2 linked regions of the Rattus norvegicus genome follow. The protein of the gene in region 1 binds, or shares a complex with, the protein of each later gene. Links are inferred from orthologs where the notes say so. Each region holds a gene or a part of one and is shown on either strand. Other genes may lie near its edges.

Region 1 (3,599 bases):
TAGAACAGACATGCGTAGTAAGCCCTGATAATGGTGCTGGTTATGGGGACTTGGTGTTGGGGTTTAAGTGACTTCATGGCTCATGGACACTCTTGTTCTAAGATGAAGTGGCTGTGATCGATGAAATCCAGATGATTCGGGACCCAGCCAGAGGATGGGCTTGGACCAGAGCTCTGCTAGGTGAGTGGTCTGCTGCTGCCTCTCTTCTCCAGAAGAGTTCACTTAAAAGTGTTACTTTAACAACAAAGAGTTCTGCTTTTGTGTGTTAGAAAGTTAACATAACCAAATGACCAAAGCAGAAATGTTTGAATCTCTGAGGGTGCAACCCAGTGGGAGAGCACTCTCCTAGCATGGGGGAACCCTGGGCTTAATCCTTAGCACAAAAATAAATAAATAGAGGAAGGAAGGAAGGAAGGAAGGAAGGAAGGGAGGAAGGAAGGAAGGAAGGAAGGAAGGGAGGGAGGGAGGGAGGGAGGAAGGAAGGAAGGAAGGAAGGGAGGGAGGGAGGGAGGGAAGTAATTTTGGGGCTGGGGATGTAGCTCATTTGTAGAGAACTTTCCAGCAGTCCATGCCTGAAGCTCTGGGTCTGATTCCCAGGATCATGTAAACAGGGTCTGTGGAGATGGATATTCTAAATGTTGTCCCATACTTGGGAGGAGGGAGCAGGGCCATCAGGACTTGGGAGGATTATCGTGGACTCACAGCTACTTCAGAGCCAACCCAGGCTACCTTCAGATTCAAAAGGAAAATGAAAGAGGGTGTGTCTAGCTGTAGTCACAGTCACTGCTGATGTCTGATGTGGGTCGTGTCAGCGTTTTTACACACACGGTGTCTAGGGACTTAGAACTTTGTGTTTTGCTTCTTTCCAGCTCTGTTTCACAGCTATTTTTTCATTCTGTGAGCGGATCCTTGTGGGTTTTGTCCACTGAAAAGCCCTACAGCAGTTTGTTTCCTGGGCTGAAACAGTCTCCCCATTACCAGCAGTGCTGCGGTAGAATTGTTGATGGATACAGCTTTTCTCTTGTGGGTTATTTTTAGTTGTTTTGTAAGATGGGGGTCCTAGAACAGGAGTTGTTGGGGCTCACAGGCATGAATGAGTGTGTGTCGCCTGTTTCTTGAAGTGATCCTGTTTCTTCTTTTCTTCTCCCTGACTCCTTCTTTCTTGCTCCCCGACTGCCCCCCCAAACAGGGATTCACTATGTAACCCAGGCTGGCTTTGACCTCTGGGTCCCCCTGCCCCAGCCTCTGAAGCGTTAGGGTTAGAGGCTAGTCCCACCACCCCTGACTTGGAATGATGATGGCTTCGGCACGATGTAGTAGGGCAGGTATTTTCAGACCAAAAACAAATGGCGGAGCCCAGAGTTTGCCTGTCAGACAGTATGTGAAAGTGGACCTGCTCGGGCCAAGGAGCTCGGAGCCTCTGTGCTGGCTCCATGCTACACCTGAAGCGCCTCAGCTTCTGTAGAGTTCCGGTTTGAAGAACACAGGCCCGTGACTAACACCCATCAGTCAGCATCTTAGTGCCGGCATCCAGTCCTGCTTGGCCTCACCTTACAGCGGTGTCAGCTGTGTTCAGAGCAAGTTAAGGCCTGTGCATTGGTAAGGCTGGGCTCTCTCTGCTGTTCAAAGAAGGCCGGAGTCAGAACCTGCAAACACTGGACAGGTACAGGGCTGAGGAAGGGGACGAGCAGTGTAAACCCCTCTATGCACCCACAGGACTCTGTGCTGAGGAAGTCCACCTGTGCGGAGAATCTGCTGCCATTGACCTGGTCACTGAGCTCCTGTACACCACTGGGGAGGAGGTGGAGGTAAGAGACGTCCCTTCCTTCTCTGGGCTGTGCCACAGGGCCGATGATCATGCCTGTGTGCCGCCTTGTCAGCTCCAGCCTGTCACAGTCAGAGCTGAGCTGTGGAGGGAGCACACATGAACAAAGCAGTGTGTGTGGGGGCGGCATAAGGAGCCTGCTTGCGGGCCGTCTGAAAGAGCAGTTTTAGTTTTTAAGACATTAAAAACAGAGCTTAGCAAAAAGGAAGTCTTTTTTTCCTCATAGCTGACTGGCTCATATACATATAGTTGAGCTTCATGTGGGAGATAGTTCATTTCCACAAGATTCCTTGTTTGTTTGTTTTGGGAGCTGAGGCTGTTTTTTGTTCTTGAGATGTATTCTCACTGTGTACCCCAGGCTGTCCTCAAATTCACAGCAGTCTCCTGCCATGCCTCCTGAGTGCTGGGATTATGGGAAAGCTGTCAGACTCAGCTTTCAAGCTTCCATTTTCTCAAAAGTCTTAGTCTACTTATTTGTGGTGCTGGGAATCCAACCAAGGACCGTAGGCATCTCTGTCTACACTGAGCGGCACCCACAGCTCATGAGCGAGTGTCCTCAGGACTAAGTCAGACCGCGAGTGTGCATTGTGCTCAGTGTTGCGTATCACACGGTGGGGCCTTTGCTCTTTCTCTCATTGTCAGCCCTAGTTTGCGTCCCTTTTGCAGACAGGAAGTTACAGTTAAGAAACTGGTTTCCTCCAAAAACTATCCTTATTTGCCTTCCCAGAATTCCTCAGTGGGAGAGTAGAATTGTTTTCTCATTGCTGTGACAAGGTAGATGAGGTAGCTGTGGAGGGAAGGAAGGACGGCAGGAAGGAAGGAAGGAACAACAAACAGCCTCCTTACAGTTTCGGGGTTAGAAGCAGATCAGCTAACACTGGTGCTTGGCTAGCTCTGCTTTTTATTGTCTCAGAACCCCAGCCAGGGGGTGGTGTTACCCACATTTAAGGTGGGTCTCTCCTGCTGTTAAACCTTTAGGAAAGATTCTCATATGGCACATCCAGAGTCTCTAAGTCCAGTCTGCCTGACAGTGAAGGTTAGCCTGCTTCTACAGAAATGAAGAAATGTGTTGGGCTGGAGAGATGGCTCAGTGGTTAAGAGCACCGACTGCTCTTCCAGAGGTCCTGAGTTCAAATCCCAGCAGATGGTTGTGAGCCACCATGTGGTTGCTGGGATTTGAACTCAGGACCTCTGGAAGAGCAGTCGGTGCTCTTAACCACTGAGCCATCTCTCCAGTCCCACTTATAAATCTTATAAAAACACTTCAGATGGTTAAGGTGTCTGGAATGACTAATTTAAAAAAGAAATGTCTTAAGTTGACCTGTTGCAGTCTCATGCTTTACTTGGAGGAAGATTGAACAGTGTGCAGTGGGAGAAATTCTGGATTCAAATCTTGGACTTTGCTGCTTAGGGCCCTGTCTGTGGCAAACCACAGAAGCCTGAAGAGGTGAGCCTCTGGCCTCGCTTTCACTGGACTATTTTACTCTGTCATAAAATGAAAATATTAGTAATAATCTTTAGAAGCTGCTACTCTGCCCTGAAAAATCAGTGTTTGTTAAAGTTCTTTAAGGATGTCACACAGTAATATTAACTCAGGGTGCCAAGAATTGACGGTAGCACAGCCTCCATCAATCGAATGAAGGTTTCTAGGTGCCTCCTGACTGTTGCTGCTTCACTGCTCCAGTGGAGTTTTCTCGGAGCAGTCCCTGTGCTGACTTGAGGGTGTCACTCTTCCACATCTGTCTTTACTGCAGGTTCAGAAGTACGAGAGGCT
Region 2 (4,368 bases), on another chromosome or scaffold:
CAATGGCATGAATTGGGAAGGTGAAGGTTTTGTTTTGCTGACCGCTGTGACCATTACTGCAGTATCACCTGACTTGATTGAACATATACAAAAATACCAGTAAATTTCTTTGAAATCAGACATTAAAGTATAAACAGTAATTGAATGAATCCCCACACCAAATAAACTCAATGGAAGATATTTCTCTGTCTGTCTCTCAATAATGTCTCATTATGTAGCCCTGGTTGGCCTGAAATTCACTATGCTGACCTCAAACTCACAGATATCTACTTCTACCCACAGAGGTCCAGGGCACTGGGTTTAAATGCTTATACTACTAAGCCAGGCTCAACGAAAGATCTCTCATTTCATGTGACCACAACTAGTCCAGTCTTGATCCTTTCTATCTGACCAAGGTCAGTATTAGAATATTCACTGATGTTTTCACATGAAGAAATGGCTAACAGCTTAGTCACATCAACAAACTGAATCATATTTTTCACTCTTTAAGAAGAAATTTAGACTATAAAGAAAAATTTTTAAGAATTAAAATAATAGTGAGAACACTTTTTCTAGAAAAAGCATAATGGATTTTAACAGACTACAATATAGCCCACAGAATTTGGAAGAGAATTTAAGTGTCATTTAATATACACAACACTGACTTTGATGGCCTAGCATGGTTCTGACACTAGAAATATTCTTAGTAGTGTCTGAACTAGCGCCCAGTACCACAATGATGACTTATGATGCTACAAAGATACCCAGTCACCATGAATAAAGCAAAGACTGGTTTCCTACCTGTACCACAGCACAGCCATCAGCAAATCTTGCCAGTTTTCCAGAGGATATTTCTAATTTTCTGTTTAAAAAGAATTTTTAAAATATAAAATGACACCAGTACAAGGCTTTGCTTAGTAAAAGTAACTGGAGAATCTAGGGGAAAACAAAACAAAACAAAAGAACAACAAAACACCAGAATGAAAGGGTCCCAATAATCAGGAAAAAAAAGTAAGTTGGAGTTGTGATCATCAAAAGCATAGATATTTAAGAGCTTAAAGATGATTGGAACCAAGGTAATGCATCTGTATAAACCTAATACACAAACTCTTCTCTTCTTCCCTGTTAAAACAATTGTTAAAATTAATAAAGACCATCTTCTGATGAATAACATTTTGAAGCTTAAAAACTTAATAACAACAATAAAGACTTTCATGCTCAACAGTGCTGTCATGACAATTTAATGGTGGAAAAACCAGTCTTTTTCAGTCAAAGATGTTGAGATGGTCACATACTCCACACAAAAAAACTCAAAATAGATACTATTCCTTTTAGAGCAATAAAATAAAATAAAACTCTTGGGGGGGGGGGGAAAGAGAAGTAAATCTTCATAAACTCAGACTAGACAATGTCTTTTTAGCTATGACATGTAAAGGCCAAATACAGAGGCAAGATGTGTGTTCTGCAAGTGTACACCAGCTCCTGTCTAGAACCACCCACAAGGCACGGATATATAAATACCTAAATTCTAAAAGTAAAAAGGTATGACCTCTAAACTTATCAAATATATTGGGAACATAATGTGAACACGTGGATATATGAAAAGGGTAGAAGAACTCCTCAAACACAGCCAAGCAATGAGAATGACACCCTCACCCGGACCCCATAGAAAGACATCTAGCAACACCACTAGTGATGGAACTACCTGGCAAATTACATTGTTAGTGTGTGAATCTATTGTTATCCAATGAATTCTGATAATGCATGCAAAAAGGCAGACAGATTTGTCTGGGGTGGGGGGGGGAGCATGTAATTTTGATTATTCCAAGGAAGCTATTATATTTATGAGTTTTCTTTTTGCTGTTCACTTTGCCTTATAACAATTTACTTTTCAACATTATATGTATAAAATATCTCCAAATACATAGATGACCCATTCTGCATAGTAGCCTCTGGTTTGGAGTGGGCACTTGGAAATAAGTGGAAGAGTTTTGAAGTTCCCATATGCCAAACCATGTGAGTGAATGCCTACCTAACTAAATACTCCATGAACATAAATAAGAAGACTGATACAATGAGCAAGCAGAACAGTGATGGTAAGAGTAAAGAGATGCCAAGGAAGGACACAGGCAGCAGCCTGCCTGCCACACAAAGTAGAGCTTCAGGGAAAAGCTTTTTATTTTTTTAAAAAAATTATTTAAATATTCATCTCCCACCCCCTGTTTTGATAACTGAAAAATTTACGTTTTTGACCTTTTGTTGGACGGTAACTGTATCTACACTACAGGTTTAACAGGACTATGTGCATCTTATAAATGGCATTCAACAAAAAGACAGGGTCAACTCCGGCTCACACTGGTCTCGGTTCTGTCCATCAGTGGAGCTGGGTCGCGGACTGACAGCGCATTACCTAGAGGTGGTCGTGGTACGTTTCTTACAACTGAGCTCGAGGTCTCGGAAGATACAGAGAAAGGACGTCAGGGGCACAGGCAGAATAGGACTCAGGAAGTTCACTGCAGGGCCAGGAGGAAGATACGAGGCAAAGGGCAGCGGCTAGCGTGGGAAGGGAGAGGGCCCAGGGAGATAGACTTTAAATCTGGAAAAGGAAATCTCGACCTTAGGTTTGGAGAAGAGAGGTTAAAAGAGACTTAGGCTGCTGGATTCCTACCCGGGGGACTTTTGGCTACCAGGGCTTCCTGAACAGGACACTGCGTGAAAAGTCCGGGAGCTCACACGGTTCCTCACCTGTGTCCCAAGTCCACAGTCACTGCTCTGGACCGGGTGCCGCTCCACAGCGCTCGCACCTGCAAATAGCTGAGTGCACGATGCCGCCTTGGCCGGCCGAGGGGACCGCAGCTCAGCGGTCGGAGACACAGGCACAAGCAGCACGGCCTGCAAGCCGCCATGACACCCAGAGCGCGGACCGCCCGGGCGGTGCCTCATTGGCCAGCCCGCAGGTGGGCGGAGCCGGACGCGGTTTCGTTTCCGTGGAACCTGAAAACTGCCGGGAAAGCAATCCTAGCAGGCTTCCTACGTAGACGCGAGAGGGTCAAACCACCAGAATGCGTTTTTCAGTCAGCTTTTTCCTGCTCTTATCAGTGAAAAATAAATACTCCCTTAAATTGTATAGATTTTATAGATTTAAAGAAAGCCCTTTAAGTAATATCGCCCCTCCGGCCGTGTATGTGTGTGTGTGTGTGTGTGTGTGTGTGTGTGTGTGTGTGATCACTGTTTAAAAGACAGTCTTAGAACAACGTGTTTAATAAATATATAACAGTAAATAAATATTGAACAACCCATGATTATTTGGCTCTTACCTAAAGATCTAGGATTGTGCCTATGGAAGGGCATGCCCCTAGTAGCAGCCACCTGTAATTCCAGCATTCAGAGGCTGAGAATGAACTCATGAGTCAACCTGGCTTGTTAGACTTTCCTGAGGGCTCCTACCTCAATATATAAGTGGTATGCAATCAAGCAAGACACCTTACTTTAATTTCTGGCCTCCATACATTCGTACACGTGTACACACACACACACACACACACACACACACACACACACACACACACACACACACACACACACACACACGAAAATAGAGCCAGTCTGAATGCAAGCAATCTAGGAAACTCTGTGCTGAGTATTTCAAAGTCTGATTTCCCCGGTGCATTTGCCACCCTTCCTCCTTTATGAGGTACAACACTCCAGCTCCCTGGTCTTCTTGATTTTGGTTGGGTCTGATAACTGGGGAGGCACAAATGAGAAATCAGAGGGGAAAAAAGAAAAGAAAAGAAAGAAAACAAAACCCAGAGAACTATAATTCTTTTTTTTTAAAAAGATTTATTCATTTATTATATATAAGTACACTGTAGCTGTCTTCAGATACACCAGAAGAGGGCATCGGATCTCTTTACAGATGGTTGTGAGCCACCATGTGGTTGCTGGGAATTGAACTCAGGACCTTTGGAAGAGTAGTCGGGTGCTCTTAACCGCTGAGCCATCCCTCCAGCCCTAATTCTTTTTTTTAACTTTAAAATTTTATTTTTTGAGAATTTCATGAATGTAAATGGATTTTAATAAACTTTATTCATTAGTAATAAGTCCCGGGTAGCCCTGGAACAACCCAGTCAGAATCCTATAAATTATTTAATAAGGTCTTGCACAATTACTGGGGGATTACCCCAATCTATGTTTTTTTTATATGCTAGACTGTTAATTCCTAGCTTCACTCCCCAAATATTTTCTGTTTGAATCTCCTTCTGGTTACTTCTGCTCCAGCAGTCGAGGAGTGGTAAAATACAGTTCATTCAGGCATGCAAACATGTCCATCACATAGAATGGAGATCTCCTGTTCTCTTCATCTGCTTCCTCCTTCATTCTCCTTCATCT

Evidence for each region. The genes of interacting proteins can lie anywhere in the genome.
Region 2: Supv3l1 (region 1) and Pnpt1 share a complex: the UniProt entries of both Homo sapiens proteins name them as parts of the mitochondrial degradosome (mtEXO) complex. The link is inferred for Rattus norvegicus from reciprocal best matches to the Homo sapiens genes SUPV3L1 and PNPT1.

What each region holds. Positions count from the first base shown.
Region 1 is NC_086038.1:30,928,172-30,931,770, reverse strand, and holds part of Supv3l1 (ATP-dependent RNA helicase SUPV3L1, mitochondrial precursor), read left to right. Parts: intron 1-102; coding exon 103-180; intron 181-1,716; coding exon 1,717-1,808; intron 1,809-3,236; coding exon of another isoform or gene 3,237-3,272; intron 3,273-3,579; coding exon 3,580-3,599. UniProt on the Homo sapiens protein: Major helicase player in mitochondrial RNA metabolism. Component of the mitochondrial degradosome (mtEXO) complex, that degrades 3' overhang double-stranded RNA with a 3'-to-5' directionality in an ATP-dependent manner.
Region 2 is NC_086032.1:107,077,013-107,081,380, reverse strand, and holds the start of Pnpt1 (polyribonucleotide nucleotidyltransferase 1, mitochondrial), read right to left. Parts: upstream 2,896-4,368; 5' UTR 2,886-2,895; coding exon 2,725-2,885; intron 842-2,724; coding exon 781-841; intron 73-780; coding exon 1-72. UniProt on the Homo sapiens protein: RNA-binding protein implicated in numerous RNA metabolic processes. Catalyzes the phosphorolysis of single-stranded polyribonucleotides processively in the 3'-to-5' direction. Mitochondrial intermembrane factor with RNA-processing exoribonulease activity.